Canis lupus familiaris: one gene and its partners. The protein of the gene in region 1 interacts with the protein of each later gene in a biochemical or structural test. Links are inferred from orthologs where the notes say so. Each region holds a gene or a part of one and is shown in the gene's direction. Other genes may lie near its edges.

Region 1 (3,406 bases):
GTGTGCACGCACAACTCAAACCCTTCCTGTGTTCTCCATAACACACTAAATTACCTTTATCGTTACACTCTAATATAATTTCCTGTCTATTTGTGTTTCCTACTTGTTTATGCACGATTAGGGACCTGGGGCCTATATATTTGTTAATTGTATCTCCAGTTCCTAGAACTTAGTTAAGTATTCAGTAAATATTTGTTGAATAAAAGTCAACCACTGTTCCCAAACTTGTTTTGAAAACAGTGTTCCCCAGATGTTAAAAAGGGATGCCATGAAAAAGGACCAAAAAAACAAAAAAAAAAAGAAAGAAAGAAAAAGAAAGAGGAACTCTGTAGTTAAATAGGGACATGCATTGTGACTTTCTAAGAGGGGACATACACTGTACTGTATTGACCTGTACTTTACAGCACTGGTTGCCAAATACCAGTGTGTGCCATCTCAGAAATTATTGCTGTTGTTGTTGCTGTATAAAACCATATCTTCTTTATTTTGCATACTGTAATTTCAGAACAACAACAACAACAACAAAAAACAACCCTAGAAATTTTAGATTTAGTGAGTGGGACCTAGTCATTTATCATTTAAAAGAATGCCTCAAGTGCGCCTGAGTTGCTCAATCATTTAAGCACCTGTCTCCTGGTTTGGGCTCTGGTCATGATCTCATGGCTCAGCAGTTAGTCTGCTGAGATTTTCTTCTGGGATCCCTGGATGACTCAAGCAGTGGAGTATCTGCCTTCAGCTAAGAGCATGATCCTGGAGTCCCGGGATTGAGTCCTGTCTCGGGCTCCCTGCATGGAGCTTGCTTCTCCCTCTGCCTGTGTCTCTCATGAATAAATAGATAAAATCTAAAAAAAAAAAAAAGATTCTCTTCTGCTGCCCCTCTTTCTTACATAGATAAATAAATCTTTTTTAAAAATGCCCCAAGTGATTCCCATGTGAGACCAGATTTGGAAACCACTGGCCTACAAAGATTGTTAAAATATATAATGCCTCTGGAATAGTGCCTGGCACATAGTAGTAAGTGCTGTGTTACTGTTAACTGCTGCCATTGTTGATGATGTTGTCATTATACTTTTGTTTTTTTAAGCAGGCTCCACACCCAGAGTGGAGCTCAACACAGGGCTTGAACTCACAACCCTGAGATCAAGAGTCAGGTGCTTAACTGACTGAACTGCCCAGGCGCCCTTGTTATTAGAGTTCTTTTTCACCACGAAACACACTTCTGTGATATGTTTGTTAACACGTCACAAAACCTAGTTTGAGAAAGGCTGAATTAAGCAAGTGCTTTAGTGCCACCTATATGCTAATGTCACCCAAATCTCTGTCTCTAGCCTTAACTACTTCTGACCTCAAGACGTGACTGTCCAATGACATTTACATATAGATGCCCTGCAAACACCTCAAAAACAACTTGAGGGCAGCCCGGGTGGCTCAGCAGTTTAGTGCCACCATCAGCCTAGGGTGTGATCCTGGAGACCCAGGATCGAGACCCACGTCAGGCTCCCTGCATGGAGTCTGCTTCTCCCTCTGCCTGTGTCTCTCCCTCTCTTTTTCTCTGTGTCTCTCATGAATAAATAAATAAAATCTTAAAAAGAAAACTTGAAAATGCCAAACCAGTACCTCCTATATTTCTTTTTGGCATCACCATCCTCTTGTCAGCCACTAGAAATCTTAAAATCAACTCTTGTTTCCCTCACCTCTCACATCTAATCAGTCCCCAAATCCTAGTAGTCCCGCCTCAGAAGTGTCCCTCAGATCCATCCCTCTGTATCTGGAGTAAGCCATGCCCTTCCCATATGTCACTTCTTTTACCTAATCCTTGCTTCTCAGCCTGGTAAGTTGCTGGCCATGTTTGTTTATTTACTTATCTATTTATTTTAAAGATTATTTACTTATTCATGAGAGAGACACAGAGAGGCAGAGACACAGGCAGAGGGAGAAGCAGACTCCATGCAGGGAGCCCTATGTGGGACTCGATCCCAGAAGTCCAGGATCACACCCTGAGCTGAAGGCAGTTGCACAACCACTTGAGCCACCCAGGCTGCCCAGAAGAGAATCTTCAAGCAGACTAACCACTGAGCCATCCAGGCGTCCCCTGTTGGCCATGTTTAAATGTCACTCCTAGGGACGCCTGGGTGGCTCAGTGGTTGCGCGACGGCCTTCGGCCCAGGGTGACATCCTGGGATCCCGGATCAAGACCCACATCGGGCTCCTTGCATGGAGCCTGCTTCTCCCTCTGCCTGTGTCTCTGCCTCTCTCTCTGTGTCTCTCTCATGAATAACTAAATAAAAGCTTATAAATAAATAAATGTCACTCCTCCACTTCCCCTGGCCCCCTGCCCTGCAGCTGCCAGCCTGTGAAGCCTTCCCCAACTCATCTGAACAGAAGAACTTGTTCTCTCAACTCATCCCCGAGCACTTTGTACGTAACTTTATGATAACACTTATCACTTTGTACTTTGTGCTTCCCCCACAGCCTCAGCTCACGCCCTCCTCTCTAGCCTGCAAGCTACTGAAGAGCAGGTGTCACGTGTGACTCATCCTGTCTCCCAGGCCTTGATTAGCACCTGGCACATAGTAGGGGTTCTCGTTGTTTCAATGCATTTCAACAACTAAGAAAGTCTAAAATTAACACATTTCTTTTCTCTTTGTGCAGAGATTAGTGCTGAAGAGCAGCTCAGACTCCTGCAAGAGGAAAAGCTTTGCAAAATCTGTATGGATAGAAATATTGCTGTGGTTTTCATTCCTTGCGGACATCTGGTCACTTGTAAACAATGTGCTGAAGCAGTTGACAAATGTCCCATGTGCTATACAGTCATTACTTTCAAGCAAAAAATTTTTATGTCTTAATCTCACTCTACAGTTAGGCGCATTATGTTCTTCTCGTTACCCTGATTGAGTGTGTGATGTGAACCGACTTTAATTAGCATCGAATGCCATTAGCATTTGCTACCAAGTAGACAAAATGTAAACTACAGTGCTCTTGTTTGTAATCTAAAATTTGAATTTCTGGATTTGGGGGGACATTAGCGATGTTATATATCTTTTTTTTTACTCAATTGAAATCTAGACTAAGAAGCATCATATTGTAATTGATCACAATGTGTATTTGTATTTGTACTACACTAACTTAGTTTCTAAGTGTGAGTTAACTGAATTTTTCATCCTTTTCATATAGGCTTAACAAATGGAGCATTCTGTGTAAACGTGGAGATTAGAATTAATCTCCCCAATCTCATAATTTGTTTTGTGTGAAAAGGAATGAACTGTTCCACACTGGTGGAAAGATACCGATTATTTTTAGATGTTTGTTTTTGTGTTTTAGGATTTTGTCCATTCTCTTTTAAAATTATACACATGTGCTTCGGTGGGTGATTTTTAAAAATGATTTTGCCATTGTTAAAAGGGTA
Region 2 (4,102 bases), on another chromosome or scaffold:
AACCGCTGAGTTGTGCTGTTTTCATAAGACTTTTGAAGTGGTCTTGACCCAGTTTGTGTAACAGTATTACAGGTGGTCTTCCTATAATTGAACTATTTACCATCCCTGTTCTTGAGAGCTTAAGGATTTGCTTACTCAAGGTCACTTGGTGGTTGGTAAACATTGACCTTTTGCTTCCTGTGAGACATCATAAACCTACTAAGATGTAGAGTAGGTGCTGGCCAAAATAGTGGAGGTTATACATTTATTTCTGAGTAGAATGCTACGCTCACTCACATGAGAAAGGGCAGAGGTAAGGTCTAGCTTTGTAGTCACTTGAAGCAAAAAGGGTTTTTTTTTTTTTTTTTTTTTCTTCCTGAATATAACTGCTCTGCTACGGGCTAAAAGAACCTAACTTGCAGGTTCAGTAGTTGAGCGATGGAATTTGATGTTTGCTTTCACTGTTGACCAGTAACACCATTTTGGAAATTGAGCTTCCCAAATGAGCTTTAGTTTATAAACTCTGAACATGTCAAAAATGTTTAGTAAATCTTTTCTACCAACATCACTTTTTTTTCTTACTCCTTTTTTCTCAATGCTGTCGCCTGCAACAGTCATACAGTCACTCATGCTAAGTAGAATTTGAATAAAGCTAACATTAGCATAAATATACTGTTTGACCTCTTCCCCTACTGCTTATTGAAGCTGTGGCATGATTCGGTGTTTTGAACCAGTATGTTTCAGCTGTGAAATGCACTCGCTGTAAGCCCTGAGCTGAGTGCATGGAAACTGTTACGCTTCTCATTTTATGTGATCTCCTAATTGGTATGTAGCAAAAATAGTTTTCTAAAACTGTTTTGTTGCTTGTTTTTGTAATAAAACCATGTGAAATACTGAAATATGGTGTGTGTTTTCCTAACGCTGACCTTCTGTTGGTGAGTGGGTGATCTCTCTTGTCAGTCTGCCCCATTACTGGTTTTCTGGACCTCTCGAAGTGGGTGCCTGCAAGGGGGGGAGAGCTGGGGACCTCCCTTCATGGCAAGAGGGGGAGCTGGCGCTGGGGCGGGGTGGGGGGGACGGGTGGTGTGTGTGTGTATGGAGGTCGGCCAGGCTCTGCCCCTTAAAGCCCGGGGGCTGACGGAGGCGGCATCCTCCGGGAGAGGGAGGCTCTTTTTAGAGCCGTGGCGGGTCCAGAGGAACCGGAGAGCGTGGAAGAAAGGGCGCAGGATGACCAGACCGCCGCCGCCCGCTGCGCTGGGACCGCTTCTCCTGCTGTGGCTGCTGCCGGCCTCGCTGCCCGTGCCGGGGGTCGAGGCTAGCAGGTCGAGGCCCCCGCTGCGCTGTCCCGCGGCCTGCGAGCCCACGCGCTGCCCCCCGCTGCCCGCCTGCTCCGCGGGGTCGTCGCCGGTGCTCGACGGCTGCCGCTGCTGCCGCGTGTGCGCGGCGGCCGAGGGCGAGGCGTGCGGCGGGGCCGCGGTCCGGCCGTGCGCTCCGGGGCTGCGGTGCGGCGCGCGGCCCGGGGCCCGGCGTCTCCGCGGCGCCCGGGGGGGCACGTGCGGCTGCCCGGCGGCGGGGGCGGCGGTGTGCGGCAGCGACGGGCGCACCTACCCCAGCCTGTGCGAGCTGCGCGCCCAGAACCGCGCGGCGCGTCTCCGGGGCGCGCTCCCGGCCGTGCCGGTGCTGAAGGGCGACTGCGCGGGGCGAGGTGAGCGCCGCCCGCGGCTCGGGGTGCTCGCAGCTCCCGCCGGCGCCTTTGCCTCCGGAGTCAACTACGCGTTCCCAGTTTTCTCTCCTTCTTAGGTGTCGCCTTACCAGTGCCTGCGTGGTTTCTCCCCGCTTGCCTCCCCGGGCCTGTTAAATACCATCTCCCCCCCTCCCTTTTTTCCTCTTACCCACCCGGGATAACAGGTGTAGTTCCCTCAAGGCGCATCCTTCCGAGTTAAGAGGCCCTTAGCTCTCAACTCTGCAGCGAATAGAGGGGGAGCCCGACGGGAGGAGCGGGAGGGAAAGGGGAGCGGAGTTGGGGAGAGACCCGGAGAGCTTGCATAGGGCGCCCGGCGCACTCAGGCCCCCAGGAACCAAGCATTTCTTCCCAGAGGCCTGGAGTGTCGGCCGGCTCCGGAGCCAGTACAACTTCCTCGCGGCGGTGGTGGAGAAGGTGGCGCCCTCCGTGGTGCACCTGCAGCTGTTCCGCAGGTAAGGGAGGCAGGAGGCCGCCCGCCCGCCTACCCGCGGCACCCCGCTCCAGGCCCCCACCCCCGCGGCGCAGGCGGCGCTGAGTCCTAAAACCCGCTGCGAGGAAATCGCGGCCCTAACAGGCTGGATAATCCGTTCGCGGAGGTTTAGCCAAAGAGCGGAAGCGTAGGGATTGCGACCACCAGGTCCGGGCTACTCCTCTGCACTTAGGAGCGTGGGGTTTCTCTCTCCCTCAACTCCCACGACATAACTGAAGGTCAGATGTAGGAGCTAGAAGGCACCCCCATGGTGATCTTGCTCGGGGGGGGGGGGGGGGCTCGTTTTCATGGAAGGAAATCCGATGTCACGAAGCCACTTGGTGGTGGAACCTAAGCGGGAACCAGCCTTCTTCCACTTCCTACCTGCCTGGGTCCTCAATAATGTAGCACTGGGTGCACGTTTGCTCTCAGGAGTGTGATTAGGGTAGGCCTCTCTGAAGCAGAGGGGTGCTGCTCTGACCAGCACTGGAGAAGGAGGCGAGGGGGGTTGTCCCTGGAAAAGGAAAGTTGGCATCAGCTCTCTGTTCTGCTCCTAAGAGGTAGCCAGGGTACTGAACATGAGGAGTCTAAGTACTCGTGCAGGGAATGAAAACACAGACAGGGGGCACCTGGGTGGCTCAATGGTTGAGCCCCTGCCTTTGGCTCAGGGTGTGATCCCAGGGTCCTGGTATGGAGTTCCCCATAGGGAGCCTGCTTCTCCCTCTGCCTATGTCTCTGTGCCTCTCATGAATAAATAAATAAAATCTTAAAAAATAAAAATAAAAAAACTCAGACGGGATAGTAAAATGTCTGAGAAAACTGTGGTGGAGGTGTGTTTGATCAATGAGAGGTTCCCATGTCCCCAGACTGTGATGGATCCCCTGATTTTCCTGCCTTCTGCTTATGCTGTTGTCTTGTGGGGACAGGTCACCTCTTAGCAGCAAGGATATGCCTGCATCCAGCGGCTCTGGGTTCATAGTGTCTGAGGATGGGCTCATTGTTACCAACGCCCACGTAATCACCAACCAGCAGCGGATCCAGGTGGAGCTCCAGAGTGGGGTCCAGTATGAAGCCACTATCAAGGACATTGACCATAAATTGGATCTTGCGCTGATTAAGATTGAGCCAAATGTGAGTGTGCAAGGGCCAAATCAGTCTGTAAATCTGGAGATTTTCATCAGTTTGCTGCCATTTCCCTCACTGCCCAATTCCCACACATCTTTTTTTTTTTTTTAACTTGGTATATGTTCTTTGCTAAATTTCCTTTTTCCCTATTTTCCACTCTTATTTTCTTTTATGCCTGTTTGTATGTCCCTAACAATTTCTATTAACTATCCAGCCTCCTTTACCTCCTCCTTCAATAGCTGCTGCTGCTGGGAAACCTCTCTCTGCTTGCCTTAGAATACTAGGACTGATTACAATGGATTCAAGGATGCTAAGGAATACTTTGAGGTCCTTGCTGCACAGTGTGGTCTGCACAACAGCAGCATTGACATTATCTGAGAATCTTAAAAAATGTACAATCTAAGATCCCACCCTGGTCTACTGAGTCAGAATCTGCATTTTAATAAGATCCCTGAGTGATTCAAGCACACATTAAAGTTTGAGAAGCACTGCTCTGGGCCATCTCCTTTCTGTTTGTGGTTTGATTTTGACTATAGAATTCTGAGCTGGTATAGTGCTAAGTGAGTTGCTAATATCAGTGGTATGTTCACCAGCTACTTCACTGCTGGCTTAGTTATAGGAATTTCTACAAAGCAATAATTTTAGACTTTAGAGATGATCCTGATCATCTTATGGAGTGACAGTTGGTGGTTGCTGGGATTTGAGGAAGAAGCATTAGGGACTTGTAGAACCTAGGTGAGTGGGTGGGTGATTCTTGCATTGGCAGTGCCCAAATGATAGAGACT
Region 3 (4,323 bases), on another chromosome or scaffold:
GAATATTATTCAGCCCTAAAAAGGAAATTTTGACATATGTGACAATGTGGATGAACCTTGAGGACACTATGCTAGGTGAAATAAGCCTGTCTCAAAAGAACAAATACTGTGTGATTCTACTTACATGAGGTCCCTAGACTTGTCAAATCCAAAAGACAGAAAAGGGAATAGTGAGTACCATGGGCTGGGGGAGTCAGGGAGTCAGTATTCAATAGGGACAGAGTGTCACTTTGGGAAGATTTAGGTTCTGGAGCTGGTTGGTGGTGGTGGTGGTTGCACAACAGTGTGAATGTACTTCATGCCACAGAACTATATGCTTAAAACTGGTTAAGATAGTGGGGCAGCACCTGGCTGGCTCAGTCAGTAGAACATGGACCCTTCACATCAGGGTTGTAAGTTTGAGCCCCATCTTGGGTGTAGATTACTTAAAAAAAAATTTTTTTTTTAATGGTTAAGACAGGACACCTGGGTGGCTCAGCGGTTAAGCATCTGCCTTTGGCTCAGGGCGTGATCCTTGGGTCCCAGGATGGAGTGTCACCTTGGGCTCCCTGCACGGAGCCTGCTTCTCCCTCTGCCTATGTCTCTGCCTCTGTCTCTCTCTCTCTGTCATGAATAAATAAATAAAATCTTTTTAAAAAATGGTTAAGACAGTAAATTTTGTTACATGTGTTTTACCACAGTAAAAACAAACCCTGCAGAGGTTTCCCAGTTCACTTAAACTAGAATCCTGAATTCTATCCATAAGGCTCTCCCGCCTCCCAGCTCCTTGCAGCTTCGAGGCTGGGACTCCCTCCAGTACCCCTCTCCAAGGAGTGCTGTGGTCTCGCCCGTCGTCTCACACACCCACGCGCACACACTGAGACCGGGTCACACAAGCCAGTACACACGCTCTCCACACACACGCCCCGGCCCTGTCTCTCACACATAGTCCCGTCGCGCGCGCGCACACACACACACACACACTCGCCCATGGCCCGTCGCGCGCACACACGTTCATACACACTGGCGCCGCGGCCTCGTCTCCCTCACACACACACGCCCTCCGCCAGCTCAGGTGCCCCCGTTGTGCCCTGGAAGGCGGCTCCACACGCGCAGCGCCACGCCAACCGGAGACGCCGCGCGTAACGTCGCCGCTCGAAGGCAGGACTGACCTGCCCCAGGGACTTCAGCACGGAATCTGGGAAAAGGCCTCAGAACCGTCGCACCGTACGCCTCTTCCACTTTGTTCCCGGAAGCTGTCCACCCCTGGCCAGGAAGTTCCCCTCCAGCCCCCGCCCCGCTGGCCCTGGGGGCGGGACTTCCGTCCCCGCGCGGCCGGCCGGCCGGAAGCGGACCCCTGAGGAATCGTGTCCCTCGGGGCGCGCCGTCCAGCCGTGAGTTCCTGCGCGGGGTCGGCGCGGGGTCGGCGCGGGACGGGCGGGCATGGCGTTCCGACAGGCGCTGCAGCTAGCGGCCTGCGGCCTGGCCGGGGGCTCGGCAGCTGTGCTCTTCTCCGCCGTGGCGGTGGGGAAGCCCCGCGCGGGCGGGGACGCGGAGCCGCGCGTGGTCGAGGCGCCGGCGTGGGCGGGGACCGCGCGTCCCGGGCCGGGCGTCTGGGACCCCAACTGGGACAGGTGCGGGGCCGCGGTGGCGTCGGGCGCGGGGCCGGTGGGCGGCAGGGCCTTGGGTCCGTGGGGGTCGGCTCCGCAGAGGGCAGGCGGGGCGGGCCCGCGGGTGGACGTCTCTCCCGGATGTGGCCGCGCGGCTGGCCGTGATGGCGGACGCCCTGGACGACAGCGGTGCCGGGGACAGCGCGCGGCCCAGACTCGGGCTGTCAGCCGGGAGCCCTCGGATTGGACGATGCCTAAGGGCGGAGAGCAGGGTGGGTGTGGGGCCCTCAGTGCTGGCCTGGGCCTCGAAGGAGCCTCTCTGCTGGAAGACGGGCGAGGACACGTGGGACAGGAACGTGCGCCTCCGGGTCTTGTCATGCGTGGCCACACGCGTGCTTATGGGGCACCTGGGAAGTGGCGCCTCTGATCAGGAAACACTTTTTAGTGTTGTTTGATGTTAACGAATTCGAGTTTAAAAACCAAACAGTGCAGGTTTTTTATGCTGTTTCTGTGTCGCAATGATAGTATTGTTGATACGTTGGATTCAATAAAGTGGATTTTTGTAATTTCACCTGTCCCTTTCTTTTTAAATGTAGGCTCTTTGGAAATTTAAAAGTACGTCTGTTGCTGGTGGTGTGCTTCTTATCGGACGGCTCTGCTCTGGAGTCTGGGAGTGGTCATTGTGGGATGGTTCACCCAATCCCAACTCCTTACTACTTTACTCTGAACGAGGGGCACAGAACTAGTATTTACTGTCAGCCTCGTTTTATCAGGAACTGCATAGGTATTCTTTGTTTTAAACCTTTAATTTAAAAAAACGTTCGAATAGTTTTAGATTTACAGAAAAATCGGAAAGCTACTAAGAGTTATACTCCACCCCTGATTTTGTCTACTGCTAAGGCTACTGTCCTTGTAATACTGGTATGGTGTATTGGCCACAATCAGTGAACTAATATCTGTTTGTTATTATTGACTGACATTCATACTTCGAGATTTCCTCAGTTTTCAGCTATTGTCTGTTGTCTCTTCCAGGATCCCACCTGACAATTAGTCGTGTTTCCTCAGGCTTCTCTTGGGTGTGACAGTTTCTCAGACTGTCCTTGTTTTGATTACTTTGACAGTTTTGAATATTGATAATCAGGAATTTTAAAGACTGCCCCTCTGTTGGGATTTGTCTGTTTTTCTCATGATTCAGTCAAGGGTCATATTCTCTTTTTCAAATTTCATACAGTCTTCTGAATTTCTTTTTAAGGAAACAGATTCATTGTGAGAATAAAGTATGTATTTGAAGCAGCACTGGATTCTAGCTCTGTTGGTGGAAGCTGACACACTGTATTTGCTCACCAAGTCCGGGTTTATGAAGGAGGAGGGTGTGCTGGAAAGTTCTAGAGCCTCATCTGATGAAATGTCCAGCCTCTTCCTGGAGAATTTCATCCAGTCTAGGCTTCCTATGTGTGTGCCTGTAGTCCCCATGTGTCATCCCTGGCTCAGCCCTGGACTCCTGTGTGGCATCTCAGCCTCTTTGTATTAGGGCACCCTAGGCTCGCCCAGCAGGACCCCTGAGCTGCCACTGCTCTCCTCCGAACTTACCCTGCCACCATTTTGTCCCAGCTGGGGATGCTCTTTTCCTAGCCCATACCACAGACCTTTAGCTTTTTCAAATTTCCGTTCTGGAAGCCACCAGACATCCCTGTCTTCCAACAACCAAATCTTAGGTTGTTTCTCGGCATCTTCACTGGTGCTGCCCCCCATCCTCACCCCCCACCACCTCTTCAGCTCCTCAACCTTCCAGGAGTGCCATCCAATAGACTTTTCATAATAATAGGAATGTTCTCTTCCTCGCTATCCAATGTGATCACCACTATCCTATGGGTTACTGACCATTTCAAATGTTCTTAGTGTGACTGGGGAAATGGAGTAATATCTTTATTATTTTGAATTTAAGTAGCCACACAGCCAGTATCTAGCATTGGACAGCACAGTTGCAGGCTCTGCTTCAACATGGCCACACTAGCTTTGTGGGCACTCCCCAGCTACCCCTTCCTGGTACCTGGTTTCGTTTTCTACACATCTCTTATCACTTGGCTGTTTTTATCAGTCTCTTTTCACTAGAACACAAGCTGCATGAGAGCTTCATTTGTCCACTTCATTCACTGATCACCCCAAACAGGCCTGGCACTCCGCTCTGGGTAAATGCGATGTGCTCTAAGAGGATGGGCTCTTAGGGGCCACAGCAGAGGGCAGAGGGTATTGTTTGTCCCTGCGCTTTCCCAAGACGGAAATACCGTCTAGTCAAAAAAACTCAATTCTGATTTGTGAGCAGAGATCACAAGGACACGCCTCTCATATTTCAACATTAGGCGAGAACCACTATCCTTGGTCAACCTGCGGAAGAGGAACCTAGACTCTGGAGAAGAAGAACTGGCGTCCAGGCTGGACCACTGCAAAGCAAAGGCCACACGACACATCTTCCTCATCAGGCACTCCCAGTACCACATGGATGCCTCCCTGGAAAAGGACCGCACTCTAACACCCCTGGGTATGTGCTGGGACTCAAGCCCCAACTGACACTTGTCCTAGTGACGCTGGGCCCCTTTGGACCTGTGTCAGGGGCTTGGCCCAGATTCAAGAATTGTCATTAACAGTGATCAGCAACCTAACTGATACAAGACAGGCATTGAAAACATCCTCAACTTTAGGGGCGCCTGGGTGGCTCAGCAGTTGAGCAGCACCT

Evidence for each region. The genes of interacting proteins can lie anywhere in the genome.
Region 2: the proteins of XIAP (region 1) and HTRA4 form a complex in vitro, tested with the Homo sapiens proteins (2 studies listed by BioGRID and IntAct, with this or other methods). The link is inferred for Canis lupus familiaris from reciprocal best matches to the Homo sapiens genes XIAP and HTRA4.
Region 3: the proteins of XIAP (region 1) and PGAM5 form a complex in vitro, tested with the Homo sapiens proteins (2 studies listed by BioGRID, with this or other methods). The link is inferred for Canis lupus familiaris from reciprocal best matches to the Homo sapiens genes XIAP and PGAM5.

What each region holds. Positions count from the first base shown.
Region 1 is NC_049260.1:96,110,715-96,114,120, forward strand, and holds the end of XIAP (E3 ubiquitin-protein ligase XIAP), read left to right. Parts: intron 1-2,652; coding exon 2,653-2,846; 3' UTR 2,847-2,859; downstream 2,860-3,406.
Region 2 is NC_049237.1:27,305,567-27,309,668, reverse strand, and holds the start of HTRA4 (serine protease HTRA4), read left to right. Parts: upstream 1-1,175; 5' UTR 1,176-1,206; coding exon 1,207-1,684; intron 1,685-2,075; coding exon 2,076-2,175; intron 2,176-3,118; coding exon 3,119-3,323; intron 3,324-4,102. UniProt on the Homo sapiens protein: Serine protease.
Region 3 is NC_049247.1:429,175-433,497, reverse strand, and holds the start of PGAM5 (serine/threonine-protein phosphatase PGAM5, mitochondrial), read left to right. Parts: upstream 1-1,396; 5' UTR 1,397-1,422; coding exon 1,423-1,613; intron 1,614-2,185; coding exon 2,186-2,373; intron 2,374-3,912; coding exon 3,913-4,128; intron 4,129-4,323. UniProt on the Homo sapiens protein: Mitochondrial serine/threonine phosphatase that dephosphorylates various substrates and thus plays a role in different biological processes including cellular senescence or mitophagy. Modulates cellular senescence by regulating mitochondrial dynamics.